2 linked regions of the Notamacropus eugenii genome follow. The protein of the gene in region 2 purifies or fractionates together with the protein of the main gene of each other region. This does not show direct contact. Links are inferred from orthologs where the notes say so. Each region holds a gene or a part of one and is shown on either strand. Other genes may lie near its edges.

Region 1 (8,189 bases), on a different chromosome or scaffold from region 2:
TGGAAGGAAAAGGAAAGCTACTGCACTCAGGGTGAAACCAATATTCTCTTCTCCTGGCACAGAAAAATGGTAGTGAGGAAACCTCCAAGTGTCCAGGGATAGGAGGAACACAATCAGCTGTGTGGGCTATGGAAAAGAGGGATGAGACTCAATGCTGGTGGGGCTGTGGAAAGTCAGGCCCATTCACATTTGGCAGTGCTTAGGATGCTTGGACCTAGTAACTGCTTGGGTGGGAAATGCCTGGAGGATCCTCTAAAGCTCATTTAGATGTTTCCAGAGCAACACATGGGACTGCAAAGCAGCCTAAATGCCCAATGAGAGGGTGGTGGTTGCATAAAATGTGCTTCATTCACATCACAGACTGCCATAATGTAAGAGAGCTACAAGCAGGAGGAACATAATGTAATCTGGAAAAATTTCTAAAGCGGGGGAAACAAAACACACACTAACAAAGGCCATTTAAAAGGAAAGGTGAATGAATGAAAAGAAAGGATCCTGAGAGGGAGGGACCGAGACTTGAAAGGGTTTTGTAGACTGAAATTCAGAAAAACAACACATTCAACGTGCTCAATATTAAATCAATTTTTGCTTTTTCAGTTTTCTGACAGGCACTGAAGCCACGCAGCTCTTAGTGTGGGACCCCAGTTCTACTCCTAGGTCAAAGAAGACAGTAATGAAATCTTTACTGGTCTGAAAAGCTAAAAGCAGTATTTTTTCTGACCAGCCTTATAGAAAATCTGACATTTCTCTGAGTTTTTAATAAGAGAATGACCATTTCCATGGTAAAGAACAGTGACCAATCACAAATTTATTAAGCACTTACTAGATACCAGGCCCTGTGCTAGGCAACAAAACAAAGTCCTCAAGGAGCTGGCCTCTAACAGACAATAAACATGCAGCAAGTGTCTTCCTTGGATGGAAAAGTTTTAAAAAACTCCTCAGTAAATCTGTTTTTATATAATAATTTCACATCCTTATGTGGATATCAATTCAGACACAGCTTGTATGATCACCGACTGCAAACGAACCACAAAGTGGAAGGTAAGAAAGGCTCCTGACCCAATGAGTAAGGCCAGGTCAGAAGAGGCCAGGAACCTTGGCCAGCAAACACTTTCCTGCCAGACAGTCTAGTATGTATGATGTTCCAGAGTTCAAACTCTTAGAAAACAGTCCAACTTCATGAAATTGCTGCAGGGAAAGGAGCCTGCCAAGAGGTTGGGGTAAGACCCAGGAAAACTGTCTCATCCTGTGAGCTTTTGGGGGTGAAACGGGGAGGATGACAATAACTAGAGACGGAACTACAGAAGCTGTTTGAACAGTGAGGAAGTCAGGAGGCAGCAATGGCATTTGGGAGAATGCCTGACACCAAAAGGATAAAAGAGAAGCCCATTTCTGGTTTACATGAGAATTCTAAAGGAATGAGTAAGATCATGGCCCATCCTGAGAGGCGAGTCAAGCCACGTATCAGTGCAGTGGAGAGGTTCCTTTGGCATCTCACCCACACTGACTACCTTGGGGAGGAAAAGATCATGGCAAGTCTCTTCCCATTCTATATTCCAGACTAGCTGGACCATTTGCACTGGTGGGAGGGGTCATTTCCTGTAGCCGTGACATCAGCTTCAGTCAAAAACAAATGACCAAATTGTTGCCAAAGACGACCAAGCCGACACCAGAACATGGAAGAAAGAATAATGGAACCCCCACCCCCAATAATGAGATGCAAAAATGGGGAGGTGGACACTCCAAAGATGCTTGTCACCATCCAGCTCAAAGTCCATGTCAAGGAGGGACAGCTTCCCTGGGGACAAGGGACACTCCTGTTTGCTGTGGGGGTTGCATGAAGCCTCATGACACTACAGGGCTTTCTGGAAGAGATCTGGAATCGCCTGAAGGAGTTTTGATTTTCCATCCACACAAGGAACATCAAATGGATGATGAAAGCCTATGGTCCAGATTTCCACCTGCATTTGAATGGACATCCTACAGAGACAGACCATCATATGTGTTTCTGGGACCCAGAACAAGGGGACTGTGAGCTGGGCAGGGTTATAAAGCAGGCGAGATAACACTAAGACAGTGCCAACCTCCTTTACTGACTGGAGCTTTTCCTACAGCAAAGACCCATACAAATATTTTACTTGTGTTGCTGCCCCCAGGGCAAGAATGAAAAATGAGCATCACGCAGAGGGGAAAAGGATCAGGCTAAAACATCACAAGGAACCCTGAAGAACAAGGGTCAAGCAGAGGATCACAGGAGCTTAGCGAGAAGTGGGACAACAAGATGGCCAGTGCACCTGGCGCCCAGGCCTCTGTGTGGGAGGACACAGAGGAGTCAAGCAGCCATGAGGGCAATGCAACCCCACTGTGGCCCCAAGCCAGCCTGGACATACAGAGGGGCATCAGACATCTGATGAAAATACATACTTGTACCAGGCCCTACGAGTGTAAAGTGTATAAAGAGAGAACAACCATCCTCCTCTCAAAACCCATGAGGGCATGTATGTGTGTGTGTGTGTGTGTGTGTGTGTACGTGTGTGTACGTGTGTGTACGTACACACTGACCCATACCCACCCCTTCACTCCACCCCCACACACTCGTACACACCCCCTGTACACACGTTCACAGACACAGAACAGGACGATTCCAATAAATACAAGCCAGTTAGGAAGAGAGGCAGAGTGTCAGGGAGGGGCACGTAGTTGGCCTGTGGGCTTCGGAGGGAAGTCTAAAAGACCTGGAACCAGCGAGGGGAACAATGAGTGAGCATAACACTGGCCATGCATGGGCCCACATTAGATAGATCCTCACCCAACCCTGCAAGGTAGGGACTACAGCTACTATGAGTGGGGCAGGATTAGAACTGAAGTCTCCCTGGCTCTAGTTCCAGTGCTCTGCTACTGTGAAAAAGCCAGGGCGGGCTCCTCCAAGTGGGAGAGGGGTGGAGCATCTGCTCTGACCTCAGAGGCCAAGGCTTCATGAAGATGGAGCACACTGGGGTGGGGGCGGATTCTAGCCCCAGACTGGGTCTCCTCCTCTGTGGTCCCCATTTACTGCTCTCCCACAGGCCACCCATGGAGCAGATCCTCCAGCATTCCCCCCAGCTCAGAGAGGGGAGGGATCTGCCCAAGACTGCCCAGTCGGATCCAGGCCCCTGATGCCTAGGCTAGTGAATCTTTCTCAGAGGACAAGCACAAAAGAACAGAGACATGGGGGAGCTGCCAGCACACAGGCCTGCCCCCAGGGACACTCCAGGTTACCTTGACGCATCAGCTCCTGCTGGATTTCCCCCAGGACAGCCAGTTCTTCAGGGTCTTCCACCTACAAGGGAGAAGTGTGTGGGTTCCTGTTCCTTTGACCCTTGGAGGGAGCAGAGGAGGGAGGGAACAGCCCTTTCACAGCACCCGGAGGATGGGAGATGGGCAAACAGACCTGTCCAAACGTCCTGCTGTGCCGCGCAGACGGCAAGGCCAGCCACTCGGCCTCCATCACCTCCCGGGCCAGCAGGCCTCGGGGAGCTTCTCCCACTCGGCGGTACTTGTCCAGGAGGTGGGCTCGGCTGTCCTTCATTCTCTGGATGCATCGCTGGGAAGAGAGGGATAAGTGAGCGTAGCACACAACTGGCCCAACCCAAAGCAGGCCGGATGTCCCAGGCCCGCTGCTGCCAGGGTCAAGCTGCGGGGCAGCCACGGAAAGGGGAGGAGCGGAGGATGGCCTCACCCATGAGGGGCACAAAAGGCCGTCACCATCCAGCACTGCCGACCTCCTTCGTGAAATAACGAAGAGTGAGACGGGAAGGCACGGGAAGCGGCGACACCGGGGCTTCGGAGGCCGCAGAGAAAAGAAGGGAGAGTCTTCGGGAATGAATCTGGAGTGGAAGGGGAAGGAAATGGGGGGAAGGCAGCAGGGGAACTTCCTGGAAGAGCTCTTTGGGGCTGCGGTGCCTGAGAGGGCGGCGAGGGCAGGGCTGCGAGGGCAGGGCGGCCTCGGGCTCCTTCTGCCGCGCCCGGTGGCACCGCCAGGGCAGTCCTCAAAGGGAAAACCGCTTCTGTCCAAGGGACCGGGAAACGTGCTGAGGCAGCCCCGTGATAACGGGGGACACTGAGGGCCCGGGGGCCTTGCCGCCGGGCATCCGCGTCTGCCCCAAGCTCGTGGCTGCGGGCCCTGCCCCCAAGCAGCACGCGCAGCCAGCGCCGCGGGGCATCGCCCGTCCGCAAGGGGCCCAGCTTGGGGCCGCCCGGGGCTCACACCCAAGCACAGCTCCCCCAGCAAAGCCCGAGCTTAGCAGGAGCGGGAGGCGGGGCCAGGAGAGGGGGCGGGGCGGGGCGGGGCCTAGAGCCAGGGCAGAGGCACCGTCGGCCCCAGGAGGGGTGCCCGCTGGGTATGATGGGAGGGGCGATGACCCGGACCTGGGCCGCACTCACCTGCCGGTACATTTCCTTCCAAGGCGGGCCCCCAGGGCGCTTGTGAAGCGCGCGCCGTCCCTGCCCCGCCGCTGCCTCCTCCATGATGCCCGATGCCCCAGCGAGGGGGGCTTCCGAGCGAGCCCGCAGGGCGGCCAGGGCCGCTGCTTCCGCCTCAACGTGCCCCTTCACCCACCGCACTGTACGCTGGGAACGGTAGTCCGATCACGGACTGCGCGTGCCTGCGTGCGTCCGGCGCATGTTGGGAAAGGTAGTCTGTGACCTTCTGGTCCTTTTAGGCCCCTCCCCCCGGACCCCCGCCCAGACCGACACCGAGGCCCAGGGCGCGAAGGTTTCCTTCCTCAGCAGGGCTCTGCCTGTCTTGGCCCCACCAGCCCCCAAAAGGAACATCACGAGGACCCGACGAGAATGCTCTGGGGTCCTTGGCAGACTGCAAGCTCTCGGCAAGCTTTGCCCACCCGGGCTTCAGCGTGCCGATCGGTCTAAACCACATTGAGCCACCTGGATACAGTGGCAACACTGAGATGGGAACGGAGGGGACTAGCCCCAGGGACCACGCCCTTCATCGTGACGCCAGCAGAGCAGAGTTCACAGCCGCGGGTTTGGATTGGACAGAAGAGCGGAGGTCACTGATTGGTCGGTGAGGAGGGAGCGCCGATTGGACGGGCACGCGATCGGGCGTTCACGGGCTGGAGCAGAGACTGGCGGGCGTTGATTGGACAGCAGAGGGGGGTGGGACCAGGCGGGCAGCGCGGAGAAAGATGGCGACTGCCGAGGAGGCCGGCGGCGATGGAGAGCAGTGGCGGCTGTGGCTGCCTCAACACGTTGTGTTCGTGCGGCTGCGGGAGGGCCTACGGGCCCTGAGCCCTCCTGCGCCGGGCGCTGAGCAGCCAAGCACGCCCAGCCTCACCCGAAACCTTCTCTTCGGGCTCGGCGCCGAGCTCTTCCTATGGGACGGGGCGGCCGGCGCTTTCTTGGCAGTGCGCCTGCGCGGCCCAGGCCCCGCCCCCAGCGACGGAAGCGGGAGCGGCGGAGGCGGTGGTGGCGGCGGTGAGGGCCCCGCCCTGAGCCGCTATCAGGTACTGCGCCTGCGCGGGGCGTGCCAGACGGGGCTGGTTGCTAGGCACTAGGGAGAACGGGCGTGCCGGGGCTGGGAGGGAGATGACGCTTGCTAGCAGCTGGCTGCCTTTTCATTGCGCGACTCCTTGACGCCACGTGGAGTTTTCTTGGCAAAGCCGCTCACTCGGTGCTTTGCCTTTTCCTTCTCCTGTTCATTTTACAGATGAGGAAACAATTAAGTGACTTGCCCAGCGTCACTCGGCCTTAAATGTCTGAGGTCTGATTTGAACTCGGCTCTTCCTGAGGCAAATAAAACTTGATGCCCAGGAAAGCACCCTCAGGGCCGTGGTCTGCGTGCCAGGCCTGCCAGCACCACGATGGACGTTGGTGGTAAGATCCGGAGGCGTCTTAGAGGAGGCGTCTGGACGGAGTGGTTGGGCTCCTGGGTGGCAGGGCCCAGCCCAGTGTGCAGCTCTGACCGTCAGGGTTGGGGGGCCGCTCCTTGGGCAGACTCGGACCCGGTCTTGTGGACGGCAGCCCCGTCTCTGCTGCGTCACTGCCCTTAGACCCTTCTGTAGCTCACACCTGGCAGGTTGGCGGAGATGACTAGGAGGAGAATGACAGGAGCTGGCGGGGATGTGGAGAAGCAGGGGCACTAGTGCGTTGTTGATGGAGCTGTGAGGCGATGCAGCTGTTGTGGTGAACAGTGTAGAAGTGTGCCCCAAGGGCTCATGAAACTGCATACGGAGCACAGGCGTGGAGTGCAGCCCAGCGTGGGGACAGGCGTGGAGCGGAGCGCAGCCCAGCGTGGGGACGGGCGTGGAGCGGAGCGCAGCCCAGCGTGGGGACGGGCGTGGAGCGGGAGCGCAGCCCAGCGTGGGGACGGGCGTGGAGCGGGAGCGCAGCCCAGCGTGGGGACGGGCGTGGAGCGGAGCGCAGCCCAGCGTGGGGACGGGCGTGGAGCGGAGCGCAGCCCAGCGTGGGGACGGGCGTGGAGCGGAGTGCAGCCCAGCGTGGGGACGGGCGTGGAGTGGAGCGCAGCCCAGCACAGGCGTGGAGGGCAGCCCAGCGTGGGGACAGGCGTGGAGGGCAGCCCAGCGTGGGGATGGGCGTGGAGCGGAGCGCAGCCCAGCATGGGGATGGGCGTGGAGCGGAGCGCAGCCCAGCACAGGCATGGAGAGCAGCCCAGTGTGGGGACAGGTGTGGAGGGCAGCCCAGCATGGGGACGGGCGTGGAGCGGAGCGCAGCCCAGCACAGGCATGGAGGGCAGCCCAGCATGGGGACAGTTAGGGAGTGGAGTGCAGCCCAGCTCAGGCGTGGAGCGCAGCCCAGCGTGGGGACGGGCGTGGAGCGAGAGCGCAGCCCAGCGTGGGGACGGGCGTGGACCGGAGGGCAGCCCAGCGTGGGGACAGGCGTGGAGCAGAGCGGAGCGCAGCCCAGAAGAGGCGTGGAGGGCAGCCCAGCATGGGGACAGGCGTGGAGCGGAGCGCAGCCCAGCATGGGGACGGGCGTGGAGCGGAGCGCAGCCCAGCACAGGCATGGAGGGCAGCCCAGCATGGGGACAGTTAGGGAGTGGAGTGCAGCCCAGCTCAGGCGTGGAGCGCAGCCCAGCATGGGGACGGGCGTGGAGCGAGAGCGCAGCCCAGCGTGGGGACGGGCGTGGACCGGAGGGCAGCCCAGCGTGGGGACAGGCGTGGAGCAGAGCGGAGCGCAGCCCAGAAGAGGCGTGGAGGGCAGCCCAGCATGGGGACAGGCGTGGAGCGGAGCGCAGCCCAGTGTGGGGACGGGCGTGGAACGGAGCACAGCCCAGCGTGGGGACAGGCGTGGAGGGCAGCCCAGCATGGGGACAGGCGTGGAGCGGAGCGCAGCCCAGCATGGGGATGGGCGTGGAGTGGAGTGCAGCCCAGCATGGGGACAGGCGTGGAGGGCAGCCCAGCCTGGGGACGGGTGTGGAGCGGAGCGCAGCCCAGCACAGGTGTGGAGGGCAGCCCAGCCTGGGGACGGGTGTGCTGTGACAGGGACAGGACTGGAGCGGGCTTCAAGGCGCCACACCACTGGCAGCAGCTGTGGGTTCCGGATTCCTTAACTCACAACCACCAAAGGAAGCTTCAAAGGTCAGTGAGAAAGCTCTTTTACTTGGGTGAGAAGGGAATGCAGCGGTCTAGCCCCAGGCCCCAGGCAGCAGCAGCTTCCATTGTTGGAGCCCTGGCCTGAAGCCCCTGGGGGAATTGAGTAGCAGATCTGCATCTCAGCCCTAAGTGACTGCCCTGGGGTGAGGAGGAGTCTTGGCAGTGGAGCTGGTGGAGGCACTGGAGAGGGAATCCTGCTCATAGACCAGAGCACAAGTCAGGAGAGGAATAAACTCTCCCTTGATTGTGCCACCTTGGAGGAACTGAGAACTCACAGGTTCCCAGAGTATACCCTCCCCTTGACAAGGAACTCAAAAGTCAAGTAACTGACTGGAAAAATGCCCAGAAAAAGGGAAAAAGAATAAGACAACAGAAGGTTACTTTCTTGGCGAGCAGGTATTTTCTTTCATCCTTTCGGATGAGGAAGAACAGTGCGTACCATCAAAGGAAGACCTAAAAGTCAAGGCTTCTATATCCAAAACCTCCAAAATGAATATGCAGTGGTCTTACACCCTGGAAGAGCTCAAAAAGGATTTTGAAAATCAAGTAAGAGAAGTGGAGGAAAACTTGGGAAGAGAA
Region 2 (7,914 bases):
AATAATTCTATCATTAGTACATAATTTGCCCATCTTCTCCTTAACAAGAGTACTGTTAAGCCAACTAAAATGTGATACAATAAACTCCTTCCACAATTAGGTCATAAGCCCAACAAAAAATAAAATAAGGTAGACTTTTCCCTACTTTGAGCTTGAAGGGATGACCAGATACCTCAAAAGGAAGACCCACATGGATTATCTCCAACACCTCAGGAATAGCTTTGGTACTTACCTGGGAACCTTTGGTCAACTTAGTAACACTCTTAAAATCACGACTTCAGTGACCATGTCAGAGATTTTCTTTGAGAAAAAGACTACTTCACTAGTATTTCACTACATTCCTCTCTTTTCTATCTTACATAGATCAATAACTTGCAAAAAGCTCTTCACACACACAGTAGGAGTTTAATAATAAAAGTTTGCTGGACTGTAACTAACCAATTCTATTGGGATCCTCCCCAGGCCGATTCTGAATAAGAAGATTTTTGGTAGGAAAAACCCGAAACCCAGTGGCTCCGGCAGCGAACACTAGACCATACTTATTAGACACAGTAAGCATACTGCAGCGATCTTTGGACAGCTCTTCAGGGGCTTCAAAGACTCGAACCTTCTTCAGCGCTCTAAACTGAAAATCCTGTCATAAAGAATAAAAACAGAGAGTAACTCAGTAGTTTAAATGATGATAAGAGGTATTGCTTACCTGGGTCAAAGAGAGTTACAAAGAAAATCTTGACTTAATACTCCCATTCCTTCCTTGACTCCTTCCCTGACAAATTCAGCTCACCCTAGTTTTCTCTTACTCACTCACTGTTATATACTTACATATAAAGTCTTACTCTCTAATTATACATAAGTATATATTCTACCTCTCCACTGAGAGCAATGTAAATTCCTTCTGAATAAGGACAGTCCCTTCCATTTCTCTCCCCATGGTATAGTGGAATGAATTGAAGACTTGACATAAAGAAAACTGAATGATTCCAGCTCTGACACTTAGTAGCTATGAAACTATTAGAAAGTTACTTTTCCTCTGAGCCTTAGTTTCTTCATTTTCAATAAAACTTGTGCTCCCTTATGGAGATGTTGTGAAGAAAATACTTTGTGACCCCAAAAGATTATAGAAATGTGACTTATTACTATAGTCCCACAAGACACAAAATCTATGTACATAACAAGTACTCAAAAATTACTGACCAACAAGAAAAAGATTACTTAATTCTATGTGACATTTCAAGAAATTTTCACAATGAAATTTCAGCACATCAAAATATCTTTTGCCCCATCTCTGTCTACCTTGAATTCTACTTATATATGTACATGTAAACTTCTTGCAGGCCAAGCCTATGTCATTCTGCATCTCCGTATTCTCAACATCTAGCTAAGGATCTTGAACAGAAAAGGTACTTCTGTGAGTGGTTTTATACAAGGGGAGAATGTTTTCTGCTTTGCAGACAGTGGAAGATGAACTTAATTAGAATCAGGAGGACATAGATTTAAAACCCCATCACTGACACTTAAAAGATATGTGACCACAGGCAAGTCACTTTCTGACTCAGTTTCTAAATCTGTCAAATGGGGATCATAATACCTATATGATCATACTTAAAGAACTGTAGCCTCTGAAATAGCATTTACAAACTCAAAAAGGATTATGAGAGTTCTCATGGGCATTTTCACTGGTCCAGTGTACTACTGTGATCCCTTCCAAAAAAGCCCAGACCCACAACAAAGTTTTCTGTAAGTACAATCTGGATTATTTTTGGGCCTCTAAGATCACAGTCACCCAACATCTGGATGACAGATGAACCAATGATGTAAACAGGCTCCTTAAGTAAATCTGTACGTTAGCCTTAAGGATCACTATCCATAGTATTCTTGAGTTGAGAGAGGGACCTTAGAGACTATCTAGTGTTTTTTACAGATGGGAAAACTGAGTCTCTAAGGGGGAAGTGACCCAAGGTTGTACAATGAGTCAAACATCTAGAAGTCAGTCAACTAATATTCATTAAGAGACTACTATGTGCTAGGCACTCTACTAAGCACTGGAGATACAAAGAGAAGCAAAAGATATTCTCAGCCCTCAAGAAGCATGCAACCTAATGGAAGCAGAATCCAGATCTCTTCACTCTCAATTCAGCATATTTCTCAACCCAACGTTGACCCAACTTTGTCCAAGAGATCAGAGTCAATATTGCTTCAATGGCTAAATCCATCAAGGACTACTGAGCCAGAAACCACAGAATGCAAAAGACCTTAGCAACAACCTAGTGCTATCCCCTAATTTTAAACATAATGAAAATAAAGCCCAGACAGAGGAAGGGAGTGTCCCAGAATCACACTATGATTTAGTAGTAAATCAATGAATTAGAACTCATGGTTTCTGATACCTAGTGTAGAAATACTTCCCATCACAACAATTCATACCAAATTAGTAGCAAATCAGTGACTAGGACTTTGGTTTTGTAATACTCAGTATGGTACACTTCCCTTCACAACAACCTGTCAATCTAACTGTCCCTGCAACATTCCCTTCAGATATATGTAGCCTAAGAGACAAATTCCAGGAACTACAGAATATCAGTACTGGAAAAAACTTCCAAAACAACTTAATCCAGTTTCCTCCATTTTACAGATGAAGAAACTGAGGCATCGAGAAGAGTAAGACTAGTCCATTATTCTTATTCACATAAGACAACTTGAGATTTGGAGCCCTTCCACAACAGCATCTAAGATAGATAGTGATGGTTTGTTCAACCAGGTTCATCTGAAGAAGACGGTGCCCTCCAGAGCCATTTCTGTGTTTTCCCAGGATGCTGGAATTCTTCCACAAATCATTTCCACCTTGTGTCCCTTTCTCTCCAAACATATGTAAAATGGGGCCAAAGAATAATTTCACTTACTTCCCTTTGATTTTCTACATATTTGGGAAGAGGAGGTTGTCTGGATTTATGCCCCGAATATATGCTAATCATCTTCTTGGCTTTCGGAAATCTAAGACGTCGCATTTTGAAGATCCTTTATATCTTTCTCATCTAGCTTTCTGTTCTGGGGAAACAGCTACGTAAGAAAGATGCAGATGCTGAGTTTTTCCCTGTGAGGTGGGAAAGCACTGGGCTGTAGACGTTGCAATGATCCATAAAAAAGGGCAGTGACCGGACCTGGAGTCAGAAAATGTAGGGCGCTACCACTTATGACGGTAAGCAAATGATTTAACTTGTGGGCCTCGGTTTCCTCATCTGTAAAGTGGGTGTGGGGTGCGGGCCGGACAAGATAATCTGTGCCGCGGGTCCCTTCTAGCTCTAAATCTACGGTCCCTTCAAGACGAGATGCAGGGGTAGGGAAAGGTATCGAACCTACGGGGAAACATCCTAGACTCTAACTGAAACCCAAATCTCTGGGTTCCCATTCTCTCGTGCCCAGTAAGCTCTAAACTACAGCACCCAGCGCCTCGAGAAATTCGAGACGGGAGGCTCTCTCTCCAAGGCAACGCTGGGCCTCAGTGACGTCCGGCCAGGCCTGGCGCGGCGTGGCCTGTCCCGGTGGTACCGGTCCTCCTGCCCCTCCCGGCCCAGGTCTCATTGAACCTGACCTTCATCTCCCGTTCGGGGATCAGCGCATCCATCTCGTCTCCCATGGCACAGACTCCCTACAAGCGGGAGCCCGAGGAGCCGCCGCCCCCGGAGAGCCGGAGCTACAGCGAGGAAAAATTCCCTCGCTGAGCTCAGCGACAGGCTCCGACGGCTGCCATTTCCGGCGCATCAAAACTACGTCACACCCGTGAGAAACAGTCTTCTAGGAGGGTGGGAAAGGGGTCGATCCAACTCGAGCCTGTCGTGAGCTGCTGCTTTCCATTGGCCCGTCTGGCGCGAGCGCGCTGTGAACTGCAGCCTCCCATTGGTCAGTCAGGCTCGCGCTTACTGTCAGCCGCCTCTTTCCATTGGTTTACCCTAGGAAGGGGGTGTGGCCTGAAGTCCATCAGTCGTGATTCGCTGTTGCCTAGCCTTTCTTCCTAACATGCAGTCATCTTCCAGTCTAGGATCTTAGGGAGTTTCTGGACCGCGGAAGTTAATTTCCAAAATTTTAACTTTTAATTTGACTGATGTGACTTCCCATGTATAATCGCTATCATATTGCTCGCCTTCTCAATGGGTGGGGGATGTCGGGAGGAAGGGAGAGAATTTCGAACTCAAATTTTTTTTAAAACGAATGTTAAAAATAGTTTACATGTAATTGGGAAACATTTAACAAAGTAAATCATTTATTTTTAAAAAATTCTTCACGGATGGGGAAATGTCTGTGTGTAGCATATAGCTCAGCGTAGCGGGGCTCTGTTTCACGTCCTTCCCGCCGCGTGGTCCGCAATGAATGGCATTCATTCATTCATTCATTCAACACCCCTGCGCGCGGGCTTGTCGCCGCACCCTCTGCCAGGTTTGTATCCTGGATTTTAGAGAAAGAAGTAAAATCCCTGCCTGCCTTCCAGCCTCTCCACCAGGACGCGGAGAACTGCCGGGAGGAAGACCGCGAAGAGTTTTTAAGACCAATAAGAAAAGGGAAAGTTTGGGGAATTCGGTCTAATTCAGACCGGGTCTTCTTGTGCAGAACTGAGGTGTGGGGGAATGGAATACCATGTTTTAAATAAGCTTCTCTGAGTTTAGGTCTAACAGCTGAAGATGACACAGAGGCAAATTAGGACAAATCAAACTTAAGGCTCAAGAGCTACAAAGCGTCCAGTTGTCGATGGCTTCAGTGAAGGCGCTATGAAGGAAGTGGAATCTGAACTGGACTTTAAAGACTTGGAATTGGAGATAACACCTGACGTTTCTATAGAGTTCAAATTTGCAAAATCCTTTATCTACACTATCAAAAAGTATAGGTCGTGTTCAGATACTTGTTGTTCTTCTCGTCATTTTTTCAGTTGTGTCCTAATTCTTTGTTACCCAATTTGAGGGTTTTCTTGACAAAGCTACTAGAGGTTTGCCATTTCCTTCACTAGCCCATTTTACGAATGAGGAAACTAAGGCAAACAGGGTTAAATGACTTGCCCAAGGTCACAAAGTTAACAAGTGTTTGAGTCTAGACTTGAATTCAGAAAAATAAGTCTTTTGGACTTGGCACTCTACCTACTTTACCAACTAGTTGCCTCATTTAGAGGTCATGTATTCTAACTTCTTGGTTTTCCAGAGGAATATACTCAGCTTGAAAAAGGTTGTCATTCCCAATATCACATGAGAACCCAGGTCTTTTAAATCCAGCACTTTTTCTACTGCACCAAATATATTGGGGCAAGTAGTCTCTTCTGACTGGACAGTAGAGTAGGTAAAAGAACTAAGGTATAAGTAGATATAAGAACTAAGACTGGAAAGATGCTGTTGCTAGCTTGTGGATGACATTGAATGTAAAGCTGAGTTTGAATTTAGGAACTAGCAACCTTTGCAAGGTTTTGAACAGTGGTGTGATATGAGCGTATCTTTGGATACGGAGGGTGTCTGGCAGTAAGGGATGGATTGGATATGGAAGAGGGATTAGGGAAGATTTGATTTGAGGTTTCCACAGAAGTGGGCAGGAAGAAAAGGGGAAAGGAAGCTCATCTAGGTAGGCAAAGGGTGTACAAAGTATAAAGTACAAGCAAGGTTGAAGGATAATGAATTGGCTAGTTTTGTCTTTGTGCAGATTGGAGTTACAGTAAACATGATGACATCTAGACTGTGGAGAACTTTGAATATCAGACAATTGTCTGGTAACTATATGACTATGGTCAAGTTAATTCATTTTCTTCGGCTTCGGTTTTCCCCCTGAGAAATGAAAGAGTTGGATTATTTAATCAAGAATTCTTAACCTATGATCTGTGGATACCCAAGGGATCAATGGATAGATGGGGAGAGGGGTATGGATTGTGAAGTTAAATGGGGAAAAAATACATATTTCCATTAACCTTTGGCTTCCTTTATGTAATACTTTATATTTTATTTTAGCACTTAAAAGTATTAATCTGAGAAAGGGTACATAGATTTCACCAGATTGCCAAAGGGATCTATGACACAAAAAAGGGTAAGAACTCCTGGACTAAATGCTTTTTAGCGGCCCCTCTAGTTCTAAAATTCTGTGACTACAATTTATTCTGTGGCAGTAAAAAAAATCCTTAAAGATTTTTGAGGAGAATGGCATCACCAAAGGAATATATTAGGAAGATTCATCTTAATATATTATGTAAAATTGGGGGGGGGTTGGAAACTAGAGGGGCACTATGGAGGGTATACAGTCTTGAAAAAGACAAACCTACTAGTCAGGAGACTATTACAATATTAAGAGCATGGTATCATTTGAGAGACCTTGGAAGGGTTTCCTGCATTCAGATATCCTGGAATCCCAAAATGTCATATTTACATGGAACCTCAAAGTACATTAGAGCATACCAGAACAAGAATTCCCTTTAGAGTGGTCCCCACTCAAAGATGTCCAGGGATGGATGCCTTTCAAGGCAGACCATTGCACTTTTGGATAGCTCTGTTAGAAAGTTTTTCCTTGTGGAACATAAGATCTAGTTCACTCCGACTTTCACTTGCTCCTGGTTTTGTCCTTGAGGCAGCCTGTCTCTTCTACCTTACACCCTCAATCAATCAATATTTATTAAACTTCTACTATGTGCCAGGCACTCTGCTAAGCACTGAGGACACAAGAAATAAAAGACAGTCCCTGCCCACAAGGAGCTTACCTTCTAATCAAGACAGCATGCAAACAAATATAGACAAAGCAAGCTATATACAGGATAAACAGGAAATAATTAATAGAAGACAAGCACATTTAAAAGGGAAGGCTTCCAGTAAAAGATGGGACTTTTAGTTGGGACTTAAAGGAAGCTAGGGAGAGGTCATTAGTTGGAGCAGAAGAAGAGCATTCCAGGCATGGGGAAGAGGCAGAAAAAATGCCCGGAACTGAAAAATGAAGGGTCTTATTTGTGAAACAGCTAGAAGACCAGTGTCGCTGGATCAAAGAGTACCTGTCTGGAAGTAAGGTGCAAGAAAACTGGAAAGGTAGGAGAGGGCTAGGTTACAAAGGACTCTGCCAAAGAGAACATTTTGTGTTTGTTCCTAGAGGTAATAGGAAGCCACTGGATTTTATTGAGCAGGGAAGTAACATTTATGGGGTGCTTGTGTATGGACCCCAATTCCAAGATCACATTTCTCCCTAGTCTCAAAACACTTTCCCAGACAGTTTTCTCTCCAGTCCAAGGACACTATGCCTAGAAATAACTCATGAGTGTGCTCCTGTGAGGTAAACTATCCCTCCCTGTTCCAAGAACAAGCTGACCTCTGTAGAATTTCCCTTCTGTGAACAGGACTACCTTGTGCCAGTAGAATTCTCATGTATTGATTCCCAGTTATCATATACAATCCAGAGGTCAAGCTATAGACATCATCTCTCAAAGTTATCTTGCTACGGACATAACAGACCAAAAATACACCCCTTAGAAACTCCTTTCTCTGGTTTCCAGGAGTGAAAGATGCTGGTGACTAAGGTTGTACGATATCACCTAATTAGTGTATCTACCAGATAATCCACCACTTTTCCTATCTAAGCTTTAGCATCATTCTTGTTAAATTGCAAAGTTCCTTAAGCAGCTCTATTTGCCACATTAGCATTACAATAAACCTTTGAACTTCACTTAAAGAATATTTGAGTCTGTGAATTCATTCCAGATGACCCTTTCCTGTACTTTATTCCTTGAATCTCTCAAACCTTCATCTACATGACTGGACCTGAACTTTAAGAAAATCACTTTAGTGGTCGAATGTAGGAGTGGGGAAAGACTTGAGGCATGAAGAACACCAACAGGCTAGTACAGTAATCCAGGTATGAGGTGATGAAGGCCTGCACTAGAGTGGTGGCAGTATCAGAGGAGAGATGGGGTCA

Evidence for each region.
Region 1: the proteins of NUP214 (region 2) and NUP88 purify together in Homo sapiens (affinity purification with mass spectrometry; 6 studies listed by BioGRID and IntAct, counting the BioPlex papers as one, with this or other methods). This does not show direct contact. The link is inferred for Notamacropus eugenii from reciprocal best matches to the Homo sapiens genes NUP214 and NUP88.

The regions. Positions count from the first base shown.
Region 1 is NC_092877.1:389,122,453-389,130,641, forward strand, and holds the start of NUP88 (nuclear pore complex protein Nup88), read left to right. Parts: upstream 1-4,970; 5' UTR 4,971-5,183; coding exon 5,184-5,501; intron 5,502-5,669; exon of another isoform or gene 5,670-5,871; intron 5,872-8,189. Other genes in the region: RPAIN (RPA-interacting protein), read right to left, coding at 3,259-3,319, 3,431-3,583, 4,423-4,506. UniProt on the Homo sapiens protein: Component of nuclear pore complex.
Region 2 is NC_092872.1:482,961,126-482,969,039, reverse strand, and holds the start of NUP214 (nuclear pore complex protein Nup214), read right to left. Parts: upstream 3,080-7,914; 5' UTR 3,006-3,079; coding exon 2,901-3,005; intron 635-2,900; coding exon 439-634; intron 1-438. UniProt on the Homo sapiens protein: Part of the nuclear pore complex. Has a critical role in nucleocytoplasmic transport.